Lytechinus pictus: one gene and its partner. The protein of the gene in region 2 interacts with the protein of the main gene of each other region in a biochemical or structural test. Links are inferred from orthologs where the notes say so. Each region holds a gene or a part of one and is shown on either strand. Other genes may lie near its edges.

Region 1 (7,745 bases), on a different chromosome or scaffold from region 2:
TTTGAAGCTCAATATGGCACCCATTGAAAGGAGGTTCAAAATCACGCCCAAAACTGACATGAAAAGTGGAATTACCCACGCTAATGTATCCACGATGGCCATATAGGTATGGGCTTCTAAGCTTACTTTGTATCCAGATGAAGGTGTTCGAGAATTTTTTTATTTCATATAAACAGTTGAGAACGAAGAAGCTGGTCATAGATCACCAAGATTTTGCGTATATACTGAATCAATATGAAGACTAGATTAAGTTTATACATGTAGAGAAATTGAAAAAAAAATCAATGAAAAAAGGGGGAAAGGGTGGTCAGGCTCAACGCAGGTAAATCCCATACAAAAGAGGATAATAACGAAAGCAAATCATTGGCTGATGGGAAGCCATTCTTTTCATTTTGATCGCGCATAATTAGCACAGATGGTCACATGATCCCAAATGACCAATTACAGCATGTGCATGACTTTTTTTATGATCGACACGAAATATAATTCTGACCACTCCGCATCATCAACGTCATTACATCATAATCATCATCATCACCGCCGCCACGCCCTTGCCTGCATGTATTTTCGTTCGATGATCCATAAACCACGGTATAATTCGCAAGCTTTTGAAACGAATTCAAATCAAGCTTCAATGGATGATCCAAAGATTTTTTTTTATTTCATCTGCTCATTAATTAACTTTCCTTATATTTCAATTTATGTATTATTTATTCCAGCTAGGCAGATATCCATTAGCGATTGAATTATCTTTATGTTTTCAGGTATAGTACAACATATAAATTCGGCAAATAGAGAAGAAACCTCTTAAAATTAGGATGCAATTCTCCTCTAAACATTTTGCAAGATTTTTTTTTTTTTTTTTTTTTTTTTTGGGGGGGGGCTACCATTACGCCCCTGGATCTATAATGAGTCACGGATGTGAACTTAGTTTTTCCCTATATTATACGTATTTCTGGCCCTTATTCCCAGAGCTCATAAGTATTTGATTCATACTACAGCAGGTCTTGCGGGGGTCTTGGACCTGGTTTTGCTTTCCCGCCAAGTCTGCAAATTAGGTTGTAGGGCTTTATACTCAAGGGAGGTCGGGCATGGGGATGTGCACATTTTGAGAAGGTGGAACTGAGTACAGAATATTAGAACAGATACCACATCATAAAGGAACCTATTCCTGAACGATATTGTGGAGGTATAAGTATATAGATATTTCAAATAACCCACTAGCCTGGAAGAGGAATTGAGTACAGTTGTTTATAAAGTTTAAACAATAGTTGTTAGAGTGACGGGCTTAAACAACATGCTTGAAATTTTAAACAGCGTTTTTTTACAGTATATAGGCCTATACACGGTAAAAAAAATCATACAACGTTGTTTACTATATGAACCTTGCAGCAATTGTTTAAACAGTATAAACAAGTGTTTAAATCTTAAGCAACAAAGTTTAATTTTCAATATCTAATTTTCAATAAATTAAACATGATTGTTTAAACGGTTAAACAAATACTGTAAGGTTCATATAGTAAACAACGTTGTATAAAATCTTTAACAGCGTTTTTACTGTGTACACGACGACTATAAATACGCGCTAGCGATGAAAGTTACAAAGTATACCTCTCAATATAAACTTGTCAATGACATTAGATAGGCTAAGCTTGTTTAGTACAAAATGATATAGATATGGAAGAAACATGCGAATCAAATTATCATGATTATAGGGCCTAATAATCGGTCATGTTTTAATGGTCGATGTATAGGCCTAGGCCTAAATTATACACCCAGAACTGCATAAACGGATTATTCATGTTATTGTCACAATAGGCCTCATTTTACCAACAGCTACAAACTCCTTGACAATGTAATGCAACATGTATAAGAAATTATTATTAGTGTAATTCCAGGTTACTATAGGAGAAAGTCAAAGGTCATTTCAGATATGCAATTTAAATTTGATAATGATTCATGATTTGTTCCGATTAATTGAAAAAAAATGTTTTGTCATATTGTATGAGATGATTATCGGATAATACAATAAGTTTTTAATCAAAGATCATTTGATATTAATGAAATTAGGATTTAACTATATTTAGTAAACAGCAAGGGCGTAAATCCCAGGGGGATGGGGATACATCCCCCACTTTTCGGAGGGGGGGGGGGGTGGCATGTACAATCATCCCCCACTTTTCAAGATGGAAAAAATATTTTTTTTAATCATCAAATGGTTAATACTTCTGTTAACGTGTGGATTCATCTTTAAAGTGCTTAGATTGGCCTACTTAAAAAAATTGCAAAATTTCTCGCGCGGTCGCATGAATCATGGGAGTTTAGTTGTAATATTAAGTCCATTAATGAATATGTGATTCCAATTACCTTTGAATATGATTATAACTTATCATAACGATTCAAAATATATTTTAAATATACACTCTCGTGAATATGGGGCAGGGGCCGCGGAAGCGGGGGGGGGGGGGCTTCAGCCCCCCACTTTCTTCCAAAATCGTGTACAAAAACGTAAAAATTACAATTTTTATGATTGTGATTTTTTGCATGGTCAGCCCCCACTTTTAGCTCAGCCCCCCCCCCCACTTTGAAAACCGTTCCGCGGCCCCTGTGGGGGGGGGGGGGTGGGTCATCTGGTATCTTTGTGGAAGCGGGGGTGTTGTATTTGGCCTACCGTATTCTTCAAGTTAAGTGTACGATGAGTCACCGTACATCAATGCCGTTAACGAAACACTAATCTTTGCTCAAAATATCGAATGTTGCATCATCTCCATATAATCTTAAAGATTATTCAAAATCTTTCCTTTTTTCATATACAATGTCATTGTGATATTACCACTTTTTTAAGATTATATTGTGGCTTGTGATGGCCTATGATCATTTTATATGGCACCCTCATTCCCGATAATAATAATATAATAATAATAATATAGGGTATTTATATTGCGCATGCACATATCCACCTTGTTAGGTGCTCAAGGCGCTCCTATATTACCCGGCTAAGCTATCCGGCTAATCATGATCATATTTTTGTTTTCATTCTCATCTCACTTTAACCAGTGAGCAAATGAGTTTTCATAGAACAAAACTCGACTATTTAGTCCCTATTTGCTCTTTTTATATTTCTTGTTCACATTCTTCTAAAGTTTACGTTATTGATGATACTCTTATCATCATCATTTTAATCGACTGTAGCAACTTTTTAAGGCTCGCAAAGTACGCTCACCGCCGCAATTTCTCTCATAATTACACTCATTGAAAGACGATTTGGTTATCATTCTGTCTTCCAACTATGGAAAATCTGCTCGCTCGCTTCTCTCGCTCGTATTTGGATACTAACTGTAATCCAGTAGTTTCGTCACAACGAATACATTATAGCCATCGAAAAAAAAGACATCGTGATAATAGTCCTTCAAGTGAAAAAATTGTATTATCCATTAATTATCCAGTTATATACTATATACCCCTGTACCGTGAACCCAGTTGGGGCATCATTCTTTCTTCCACCTATTGAAAATTTGCTCAGTCGCTATGCTCACTTGCCGCATTATCCAATAATCACTCCTCATGAAAGACGATTTTGCCGTCATCATGTCTTTCAACTACTGAAAATTTGCCCGCTCGCTCGCATTTGCTGAACTGGACATGTAGTTCGATCAGTAGTAACACAATTCATTACAATTATATAGCCATTGAAAAAAAAATCCGGAAAGGCCTTTAATTGAAAGATTAAAGGAATATGTACACAGTTACTTAGCCCTATATAGGTGTGGGGGTGTCCCCCAAATTTTTAATTTTCTGGTCAATAAGATATTGCTTTCATGCCCCCCCCCCCCCCCATGCTCGGACCGGATTTATACGCCAGTACGTGGTAAACATTTTTTTTAAAGAAACAAATATATATTCACTGTAATGATTGCTGCCATATTGAATCGCATAAGGTGAGACTGGGTGCGATCTTGTTAACCACTGAGGGGGCGGGCGCAATTTTTAAAGGGTGTGCTGGCCAGGCGTGCTGGTTTGCAAAAAAAGAAGAACTTTAAGAAGAAGAACGTAAAAGAGAGAAAAGGAGTTTCACTCCAAAATGCAGGTCGGATTTTGTGAAATTTCTATTTTTAGCATACCAACATGATTTTCAGGGGGTGATGCATACGACAGCACCCCCAGATTTTTTTTTGGGGGGGGGTGCTCTTTTTAGTCTAGATCACAAGTCGCAGCACCCCCGCTTCCCAGGGCCATGCCCTCCTCCGTGCGTCATGCAGAAATTTATCACTTTTCCTTATCTTTTCCAATTCTCTCTTTAGCCTTTTATTTTTATTTTTCTACAAATCAATGAAGAGAATGAACACACATTATTAGGTGTCATGATAATGCGAAGTATACAAATTACTCAGTTGAACTCGAAAAATTGGTTAAATCCATCCCGAAATCCATGATTCGCAGTCATGTTTGGATCATCACAATTCAGATCAGTGCAGATTTTTTTTTTTTTTTTTTTTTGATGCGTTGGATCTTGCATACGTGTCTGCGAAAGGCCGCCTAAAGTGATGAAAAAATAGTTATTGTGTGCGAATGAATCGGTCATGCTACGCACATCTTTACTGTCCAATGACCTTTTTTCATTAATTTACACACTCAACCCTTCAGCACTGCAGATATGGCGGATATTTCTCGAGAAGAAAAGCTCGCAGCTGCGAGGAAAAAGGTAGTTTATATGCTTTTTCTACAATATATCATATCTTTTATGTATTATTCAATGTGTATATATATTGGCAGAAAACTTGTAGACTATTGTTTGCATCTTAATTTTTAAATTTTACGTGTATTTTCTGCTTTAATTTGTGGATGTTTTATTGATTTGTAGAAAGTGGTGAGTGGTCCCACTCATTCGTGTCAGTGTGTTGTTTTCATTTGGACAGCATATTGTAACTGACACAGTGAGCCAGACTGGTTTGGGTGATTCGCCGTTTTTTCGCCGTTTTTTCTCCCTTTTTTCTCCCTTTTTCCCAACAGAAAAACGGCTAGAAAACGGCTAAAAAACGGCGACAAAAAAAGTGTACCGACTATGGAAAGCTAACTGTATGCAACAATGATTTTTATCAGAATAAAATAGTGAATACCTCCCTTCGAGAAAACGGCTACAAAACGGCTAATAAAGGGCGAATACCTCCATTGCGGGAAACGGCTACAAAACGGCTAATAAATGGCGAATACCTTCCTTGTGGAAAACGGCTAATAAAGGGCGAATATCTCCCTTGTGGAAAACGGCTACAAAATGACTAATATAAGGGTGAATACCCCCATCGGTAAAAAAGCCTTCAAAACTGCTAATAAATGACGAAAGGCACAAAAAAGTAATAAAACTAGTAATAAATAGGACTTAACAAGTAAAAATCAGCAAATAATGTTGTACCACACAAGCTGGTGAGTGCATGTACTTGAGACAACTTGGAATAACATTCATACTACCGTAATGAATGGTAGTGGATAATACCGAACAATCTTCAGTTTTTTCAATCATATCAAACCTTTTCTTAAAATTCATCAAAATTCCACCATAAAGTAATCACAAATACCTACTAAAAATAAGAATTTTAAAATGGCTGAAATCGATCGGCCTATATCTGAAAAAAAAATTCTCAGCTTCCGATTTCGCCCCTCTTCGCGTGTGAAATCTTTTGTCACTTGTGGTTCGTATACCAAACACATGTTTTCTGCTGTCATAAGAGAATTAACAAAAATCTATAATTAATTCATTTTCACCGTATTTTGTTATGTTTAGAAAATTGATACTTCATAAATATGATTTATTTTCATCATTTTTTCTTTTGGAAAGATGCTGCAATGTGCTAAATGTATTAAATTATACTGTACTGTATTATTTTCTTTATCTTGCCACTTGTTACGATCGTTTGCGTTTGCGAAGTGGGAATGGCCGCACCCTTTCGAGAAAACCAGGATAGCTTTTCTTGAAAGGGTGGGATGAGGGAAGGGAGTCAAATAAACACACCTTCTCGGGACAACCAGGGGAGCTTTTCACGAAAGGCTGTGTTTAATAGTTTTCTGAGCCAGTTGTTTCTATGAAAATTATTCATCAAATAATAACAACAACAATATAGGCGATTGGTAGAAATGCACATATGGGGGGGGGGGGGCCTGTTACACCCATAAATGTGAAAATCGCTCACAAATGTAATAACACTTTACCCACAAATGTAACAACGCCCAAAAATGTAATAACACTTTACCCACAAATGTAATAATTTAACCCACAAATGTATTAATGCACTTTACCCACAAATGTTATAATTTTTGATCGCCCACAAATGTAATAATGACTTTACCCAAAAATGTAATAAATTTGAAGGGATTTGATCCGTTCTAAACTAAAATCTATAGTAATACGTTGATAAAGCACAAAAGTGCACAAAAGTCTTTTTCCAGACCCGGTTGTTTCAAAAAGTATAATAGTCCAAAGTCTTTTTTCCAGACCCAGTTGTTTCAGAAATTATAATATAAGTCTAGTCTTATTTCCAGAACCGGGTCTGGAAAAAATTATTTGTCCTTTTTATATCATAATTCTTAAAAAGAAAATTTCCTCCTTCTTTATACATTTACACACATAATATGTTTATCAAGAAAAAAAATAATTATGTTATCGTCATCATCATCACGGCCGCCATCAAAATCATTACCACCACCATCATTCTCGTCCTCTTCTTCCTCTTTATCCCCCTTCATTATCACCACTATCATTATTTAATTACATCACAAATACACTATCATCCTCGATTATCATTCCGTTTTAACAAACGCTGACTATTGTAGTAGGTCCGTGATTGGACAATGTGGTTTGGGGGATTCATCCGGGTTGAAGAAACACAACGAGAGATCACAAGTGATCATTGCGTAACTTAAATTGAAACAGATTCTTCTTATTGTTAGGTGTTCACTGCAATCTTCACACCTTCCATTGTTCACAAAACGTGCGAGACGGTGTAATTAATTGACCCCATTGAAGTCGCAACAGCTAGGGCATTCACTCCAAAGCTTCTGTTATACATTTTAAAAGTTATCTTTCCTATAAAACGAAGTAGCTCAAGTGCATTGGGGTCTTTAACACTATAAAACACAGTTTTGATCAATATACCAACGAGATCGAACCAGCTCATGACATCATGGAGGCTGATGTATGCCTCCCCAAGAATTAGAGGCCGTTCTCATTACGCTTTCTAAACTAGTTTACTGGAAACCGATTCAGGAAACCACTTTGGAAGATCGCTTTGCTAGCGTTCCCACTTGATCACACGAAAGTGGTTTTCAATATCACTTCACTTTTAAAAAGCGCTCTTGTTGCTATGGTAACGCTCTCAGTGGGGTGACACGTTTCGCGCGAAATTCGAAACCGCAGCATAGGCATTCTACACCTGTCGTGTGGAGTAGCGTGCTCAAAATGTGCGAAGATCGCTTCCCGAAGAACGGTTGTGTCCTCACTTACGCTAAAACCAGTTAAACGAGGCAAAGCGATCTTAAAAACTACATCGCGAGGTGGTTTTCCAAACTGGTTTGGAAGATCGCTTCCAAGACCGCTTTGACCGTTCTCACTACGCGTTAAACTAGTTTCCACTAAACTAGTTTCCAGTAAACTAGTTTTAGGAACGTAGTGAGAACAGCCTCTTAAAGTATATCGAAGTGGTTTGTTGGATACTACTTAGGCCTACATGACCAATGGCCCAGTCACATTTCCC
Region 2 (8,042 bases):
TATCCATGCTATTTCATTCATGATTCCACTATTTTTAATTAATGAGTCCACTCTTCAAACAGTGGACTCATGAATGAAATAGCGTACTTAACCATGGCAACAGGCGTCAATTTGGCGCACTGTGACAAAAGCACTTATCAGCATTGGACATTTTTTTATAAACGTGGTAAAATAAGCATAATTTATACAGGAAATGTGCATTAACCATGGACTAAACCGTGGGTTTTCAAAATCACCTTTGTAAATTCGGGCCAATAACTTTGAGTTGATTTGGAATTGGTTTAACTATTTATCTTAGGTACAAATTAATCTCTCTACTCTCCTTTACGTTTACGTAAAAAGGCATTGTAATAGAAAGATGAGAACAAATAGAGCATACTAACACCGTAGAACATAGAATACACACAGAAACCATGATGGAGGTAGCCTATAGTATTATGAATCAAACCTATCAGGAACTGTGTGATCTGAAGCTCGGTGATGTGGCGCTTCCAGGTCGGAGCACCAGGCAGTGTCTTCTGGGCTGTGTAGCCGTAGTAGTAGTAGAGACAGACGTGGACGAACGAATTGATGGAGAGGCCGAAAGCAATTCCGGCCCAGGGAGAGTAGTGGTAAGCAAAGTCTGTGAGGAGGACCATGCTGGCGTGGTGGTAGACGTGAAGGAAAGAGATCTGACGACGCTTGTGGCGCAGGATCATGAACAACGTATCAAGGAGCTCAATGTTCTTGGTGCACCAGTACATGAAGTAACTGCAAGTTACAAGGCAAATATTCTCCATTAATACCATGGACCTCCTAGAAAAGACCTAATAAAGTCTTGCTTTGATCTAACGATCATCATTACCAGATTATTAAGTTTATCTTGGATGGAGAGGCTTGCGGTAACACAATGTATTAAAGTTAGTCCTGAAAAAGACTGCTGGTTTATCTTTGTGACTCCTGAGAAGAGCAAAGAGCTCTTGTGCTTGAAATGTCGAGAATATCAGTTCTTTTAAGAGCTATAACCGAAAGATAAATGAACAGTCTTTTTCAGGACTAACTTAAATGGTGTTACCGTAAACCTCTCAATCCAGTCTTACCACTATGCAAACCTTCAAAGCTCACATTAAGTTCATCTCAATGAAAACATTCAGCAAGGACATTTCAGCCAGCATATGCTGACCTACATATGGCAAGCCATATTTTACCACTTTATCCTTTTTCTTCATATATCAAGATTTAAATCATTGATATCAGGAAATTGAATAATTGATATAAATAAATCACTTTTCATTGTTAACAAAAGAGCAATTCTTTGTCAAGAAATAGGCTAAATAATAAAATGAACATTGTAATGAAGATCATGAGGTGATAATAAGAATAGGTTTTACATGTGTATAGTGTGGAGCAATTTTAAAATCTTGTTGCTGAATCATTTCAAACATTATGCTACCTGTATTCTAGTACATCATTTCCTTCTTTCCTGAAGATGGATCCGGACTTGACCATTCCAACGATGAATCCCAACAGAGTACAGCCACTGATAAAACTACAAGTATAGTTATACACTACCATGATCTATAAAACAAAAAAAATAAAACATCCGTATTTCTAACTTTGCATGTATGGGTTTCTGCATAAATAAAAGAAACAATGTAAGTTAAGAATTTCATAATATATAAAATTGACAAAAATATCTAGGAAGTATGTGAAGGCATCTTATAAGCCAAACTTCTAATAACAAAAAATAATGGAGTACATGATCATGATGATTACATTTAAAATATTTGTATAAATGTAAGTTCGAGTTCGACAAGTGCCACACTAGATGATCTGATATTTATCTGCATGGATTTACAGGATTTTTTTTACTGATTTTGAAAGTTTTCCTCCATTCCTGAAAGGGAAAAAAAATGATTAAGCCTATTTTGACGCAGGAAGGTGGAAAAAACAAAACAAGGTCATTCATGAACTTGATATAGGACAGTCAAACTGAACTTACTTGTCTGAGAGAGTATGGCTTGGTCATTCTTTGGTAGAGCGGTGAAAGAGCGATGAGGATGAGGTATATGATCATAACAGGGAATGACTGTAGGCCAACAAAGGTATTACCAACCTGGTAGAATCTTTCCGAGAGTATAGCCATCTTCCCTCCTGTTTGAAAAAAATAAGAGCTCATTACCATTAAATGGGTACTTGGCCAGGCTGAAAGTATATTTTATTTTCATAAATCTATAGGCTTGTCTATAGGCCTATATTTGTTGAAATCATATTATTTTTATCAGCATGGAGTTCCCTTTAACTGTATACAAAAGACTGCAGTCTCTGTATAATTTGTTGTTCTGCTGAGCTAATGTCTGGCTCCATATTCATTGGGAATATATTAGTATCAATTCAATTTCCCATAATAAGATGGCTATTTCTGTTTACCCTTTGAATACAAAATATTCAAACAGTAAATGGTATATCTTTGGATTTCAAAAGCATTATATTTTTGAAGCTTTTGATTATATCAGTGCCACAAAAAAAAAAGCCTCGCATATTATTTGATGTTGTTGGCATGCCTTCATATAGTACATGTTGTCATTTATTTGATAATTTGGAATCCACATATTTTTTCTTTAAGTGTAATTTAATGTACACTTTTGTGTACTACAAATGGGAGTGGAAATAAGAAACCAATGAATGTCAGGACTTATGTGAGCCACTGTCAAGTGAATGGTGTTTTCACAATATCTAACTTCTTCCATCATAGCGAATAACATTAGATCTGATTCTGTCAAATCTATCATTATGTTTCCCACGCTTTATGTCAGAATATATCTTATTTTTGCCAGGCTTAGCCTTATAATAGGCTTAACACGACATTAATAAGCATTTACGGCAAGGCTGAATGACATTTAGAGTCTACATACTATCGTCATGGGACATGCCAGTTGGCATAGTTCTGCTGCAAATTATGACTGGACAAAGCCATAATTGTATTCGTCAGCCTTAAAAGGCGCGTGCCTAACGTTAGTTAGGTCTACTTCACGTTCGATCCCCGCATTTCTTATATTACCATATGAAAGTCTATATGTGGGACTGGATTAAAATCATGTTTTCAAAAAATATGTTTAATTTGGATCTTGCAAATCAAATACCAAAACACTAACTAATTTCACATATTTTCCAACAGAGTGGATCAAATATTGACATCTCAGTAATATAAAATGATCTATAAATACAAAATAAATGGCACACTTACCCGTTTCAGCTATTTTTCTTGCAGAAATTTAGTTCTCAACTTCTCGTTTTCTGCTGCAAGCTATTTAGTCTTAGTTTGAAGAATAATTTAGTCATCATCATGATACACGATACACTATCCTTACTTGTTTATTATCACTCATAATAAAGCAAGTTTATAATTAACAAGGTCATAAATGAACCTTATTCCTTACTTAAATTCTAACTGCTTATAACCTTCTTGATTGCATGAAATTAATTAATAAAAAAGTGTCACTGACAATCAACAAAATACGTATGTGAATGCAGACTAATCATTTTGCTACCCTAGATCTCGTGTTCGGTACTTTTTTGTTAGGGTGGGCGTGGCATTTTCGGAGTCGAGTTTTGTTGGATTATTAAACGAGCAAAGGATGAACAAATATATTAACCTAACTAGATTAGAATAGATCAATAGAACTGTCTATTTTGCTATATTTTCCTAGAATTTTAAGTTTGATTTTCTAAATCGTAATTTTATATTCATTGTTTAATTTGTTTCATAAGAAAGTTGTGAGAAAGGGGGAAAAATGTTGCAAACAATTATTTCTGAATGTAGACGAAGGAAATGATTTACGGTATTTTTTTTTCGGTTAAAGACAAATTTGTCCCTTTCAAGTTGTTGTACAGGGGCCGGTGAACGGTTTTGAATGTGTGTGTGTGTGGAGGGGGATGACTGCAGGGCCCTGGAAACTATTTTTTATAACAGGGGGTTCTGATGTGCAGCAATTTTGAGACAATTTCAAGTGCCGCCCTGTTCCCGATATTCATTTTCAATTTGGTAAATTATGTTGATTTAATTTGATAAAACATACAAAGAAAAAATATTTTTTTTATATATACAGGGGCGGATCCAGGATTTTTCGAAAGGGGAAGTTAGCACATTAATTACGTTCACAAAAAAATTTGACAAGCAAAAAAAAAGATCTTCACTTTCAAGGGGGGGGGGGGCACACTTCTGTTTTAACGGCAGTGTATATATTTCCCTGTAATTGGCTTTGTGAACTAAGAAAACTTAGGGCCCATACATGTATATATTGTTTCCATGGTAGTGTGAATGTATTATTTTCCAGGGGGGAGGAGGGCAGGCGGAATGTTTAAAACACTCAGACCCTTTAGGCCTATACAAAAAGGAGGACAAGAGCGTAACGACTAAGCCGAATTGGAGGGATCGTTGCATGTTTTTTATGTAAATAAATCTGGAGCACAGTTTTGGTTTTTCTTTTTAAATTTGCAATAAAATGAGTTTTGAAAGAAGCAAAAATGATCATATAATCCCAGCTAAGTAAACTCCCACTGCGTATATGGCAAAGGAATTAAGTTTGTCTTAATTATGGTCACTTCGGCTGAATGCTCATCATAAAGATTATACTTGATTATATTACCAATCAACCAATTAATCAATCGATCGATCGATCAATCAATCAATCAATCAATCCATTTGTGTTCAAAGCATAGAGATATATTTCTATGGTCTAAAGAGATCCCCCGACTCGACTAGACTGTGAAGACCAATTTCTTTAGCCAGAGTAGTAAATTAAAAAAAAAAAACAAGTGCACATCTAGTTTCCAATAATGCATATAGCATTTCCATTTATTTGAAAGCAGGATAAAAGAGCATTGTAGATTAAATGCCTTGCTCATGGGCATAGGTACCGTGGCCGGGGATCGAACCCCGGACTTTCCATGTATAGCCTTAGACCACTTTCCATGTATAGCCTTAGACCACTCGGCCACGGCACCTCAACTAACTCTGTCTTTAGCGCAATACCGCCATCTACGTTTACAATTTGCACTTGTTTTGTGCTACGTGTTCCACACTTAATCCTTTCTTGACTCGCAAAATAACTGAATTTTCCAGGAAAATGAGCTTTTTCAGTCGGGTTTTGGGAGGAAACACTCCAGAAAATCAACAGTCAGGGGCAGATACGGTATGTTGAAATGAGTTAATCAATTTCAGCTCTCTATATCCATTTGTTTGGGCCGTAAAACATGCACATATTCACGAATGATATTTAGAAATTATGAGCCAGTCCCATGCGTTACAATTCCTGTCTGTAATATTAAAATGTCAAATACATGTAGCCTAGACTCTAATTGTTTAACACCTTATTTTCAACTGTTCACTTTTAGTTTGGATGTAGACCCAACTATAGTTTTTGTTTCTGTTTTGATTTAATACATGATGATGGATTTACCTTCATAAGGTCCATGTTTCTTAAAATCTTGTTCTTTGACTTTGGTCTTTGTTGCACTGCAGCTGCTTAACTAGGATTTTTGTCAAAGTTTGTGAAAAAAAATGAAGTTAACTAAGTCTTAGAGTAAAGTGCCCAATATCGGACACTTAATCATAATTGGACCCCCCAAAAAAAAATACAATTATTGCATCAAATAAAAATCATGTGTATTTCTGTAGTACAAATGTGGAATATTAATGTCATAAAAAATAGAATTGAAAAAAATATGGTGAGCGGAAATTATTTACTTATTACCAGAAGCTTGTTTTTTGCCAAATATCGGATGCAGTTTCCAAATGTTGGACACATAGAGTTGTGCACGGCGATCAATTTCAGCGATTTAAATCACGCTCTAAACCCCCAAATAATTGCTTGATTGTTGAGAGAATAACTTATTTCAGCTGTGCAAATGCCAATTTTAATTGTCACTGCACTATTAGAAATAGGTAAATAATAATTATTTACTTACCCGATGGACCTCTTTCGGCTCTAAACATCGGACGTCTTCGCTCAGCTGCGTTTTGAAAACGAGCATGCGCGCGTCAACAGCACGCATTTCCAATTTAATTGGTCGATATGTCCGATGTTTGGGAGAGTGCCATATTTGGAAGGGTGTCAAAATTCTCGTTGTGGGGAACCCCTGCGGCGGCCATTGCAGGTTTTTTGCGATAGATTGAACATGTGCAATCTCGGCGGCGATATTTCCAGTGAAAATCACTTCCCCCTTACAACCTTTCTGAGTCCATAATTAGCGAGGGTCATAAGAATCTTTGGAAGTCAAAATCATGGATTTTACCCCTGGATTTAACCCCTGGAATATTTATTTAAGCTTCAACCTGGATCTACTGTGTGCAATTCATAGCAGGTATATTAATGTATTACATACAAGTCCCCTACCATTGCAGGTCCCTTTAGTTGTGGGGATGGAGTTGAAGTCATTTTAGTTGGATATTTGGAACTGTCCGATATTTGGGGACTTTACTCTAACTTGAATTGCAGAGTTTGGCTTACATGTAGTAATCGGCCAATGTGTATTGCTTAGTTACTTTCCATTACAAAGGCCGAGATGGTGGCGTAAAAATACTCGTTCAAATTAGTTCATATGTGTTTACATGATTTCACATGCAAATTTGATTACATTAAAAGGGTTTAGCAAACACTTAGAATGTTAAATATTACAATGTCACAAAATGAACAATGTTGAATTGTGTAATGTAGACAAGACTTCCAGGGGCATCCCACTTTATATCTATCCAAACAGTACTCATTAAAAAATTCAAGATTATTTCTCATCTATGTGACTGTCCCTATATTTCTTCTTTAACTAAAGAAGTAATAGCATGAATATATCTCCTGTATAATTCTAGATTGCCAAGATATGTGATCGAGTGCAGTCTTCCACGCTCCTGGATGACAGACGAGATGCAGTCAGGGCTCTCAAAGCTCTCTCCAAGGTAAGACACCATGGTCTTAAATTTACTCCAAATAATAAATGTAAGTTTGTTCTAAATATCGGACAGCCACTTATAATATATTCTGAGAAGGATTGCCATTTAAAGAGTTATACGTGGCACAGATTTTTGTTACGGTGCCCTATTTAGCATTTTTGTAGCCATAATATTGATGCTTGCTTTTAGTTATAAAGCCTGATTATGATTAGGTATAATGTAAAAAAAAATGAGAGACAAATAGAAAAACAACAAAATGTTGTACACTAGTTTGTGAAGTGATATCAATTTGAATCAGCTAAAGTTGGGGAAAGTAATGGAAATATTTAAAATACTGATACTTTTGCCAACTTTTATGTGAAACTTAAAAACATTTCTTTACAAACATACTTTCCAATGTTAATGAAAGGAAGTTTGTTGAGAATATAAATCAATCTTTCTGAATTCCATGTACTGTACATGTATGTTGCTCTATCCACCATTTCTTATAAGTATTACTTTTTCTTGTTTGTTACAGTCTCATTTTTGTTTATAGTTATGTATTTAGGGAAATGATATTATTTTTCATCTGTTTACATTGACAGAAATATCGGCTAGAGGTCGGTACCCAAGCCATGGATATATTGGTGAATGTCTTGGAGACTGACCGGACCGATGCTGAGATCACTGGTTATGCTCTGGATACGCTCTTCAATCTTCTATCAGCACACACAGAGGAGGAGGAACAAAGTAAGATTTCATTAAATGCTCTGTCTTTAAAGTTTATCTACAACTTTGTTATTAATTTGATTTTGATGTTTTTTTAGGTAAGTGTTATCATTATTAACAGGACTGGGATGAAAAACTGTATATATATATATATATACTGATCTTGTCATTTAGTCAAAATATGTCTGAATCGATCGATCAATGAGTAAATAAAATGTGTTATTCGAACATTCAAATCTTTAAAAATATAGGGACTGATATTTCCATTTTGGCCATTTATTGTGTGTGTGATGTTATAAACATTAAACAAATTAAGAATTTTTTTTCAGGAATATTGTTATTTTCAAAGTAAAAGCCATTTGAACACTAACATTTATTCTCTTTTGTTAAAAGATGTATAGGGATA

What was found. The genes of interacting proteins can lie anywhere in the genome.
Region 1: the proteins of general vesicular transport factor p115-like (region 2) and golgin subfamily A member 2-like form a complex in vitro, tested with the Homo sapiens proteins (2 studies listed by BioGRID). The link is inferred for Lytechinus pictus from reciprocal best matches to the Homo sapiens genes USO1 and GOLGA2.

What each region holds. Positions count from the first base shown.
Region 1 is NC_087259.1:22,002,546-22,010,290, forward strand, and holds the start of golgin subfamily A member 2-like, read left to right. Parts: upstream 1-4,634; 5' UTR 4,635-4,654; coding exon 4,655-4,702; intron 4,703-7,745. UniProt on the Homo sapiens protein: Peripheral membrane component of the cis-Golgi stack that acts as a membrane skeleton that maintains the structure of the Golgi apparatus, and as a vesicle thether that facilitates vesicle fusion to the Golgi membrane.
Region 2 is NC_087262.1:22,092,144-22,100,185, reverse strand, and holds the start of general vesicular transport factor p115-like, read left to right. Parts: upstream 1-5,016; 5' UTR 5,017-5,108; coding exon 5,109-5,174; intron 5,175-6,847; coding exon 6,848-6,934; intron 6,935-7,512; coding exon 7,513-7,657; intron 7,658-8,042. Other genes in the region: very long chain fatty acid elongase 5-like, read right to left, coding at 315-750, 1,433-1,557, 1,982-2,125. UniProt on the Homo sapiens protein: General vesicular transport factor required for intercisternal transport in the Golgi stack; it is required for transcytotic fusion and/or subsequent binding of the vesicles to the target membrane.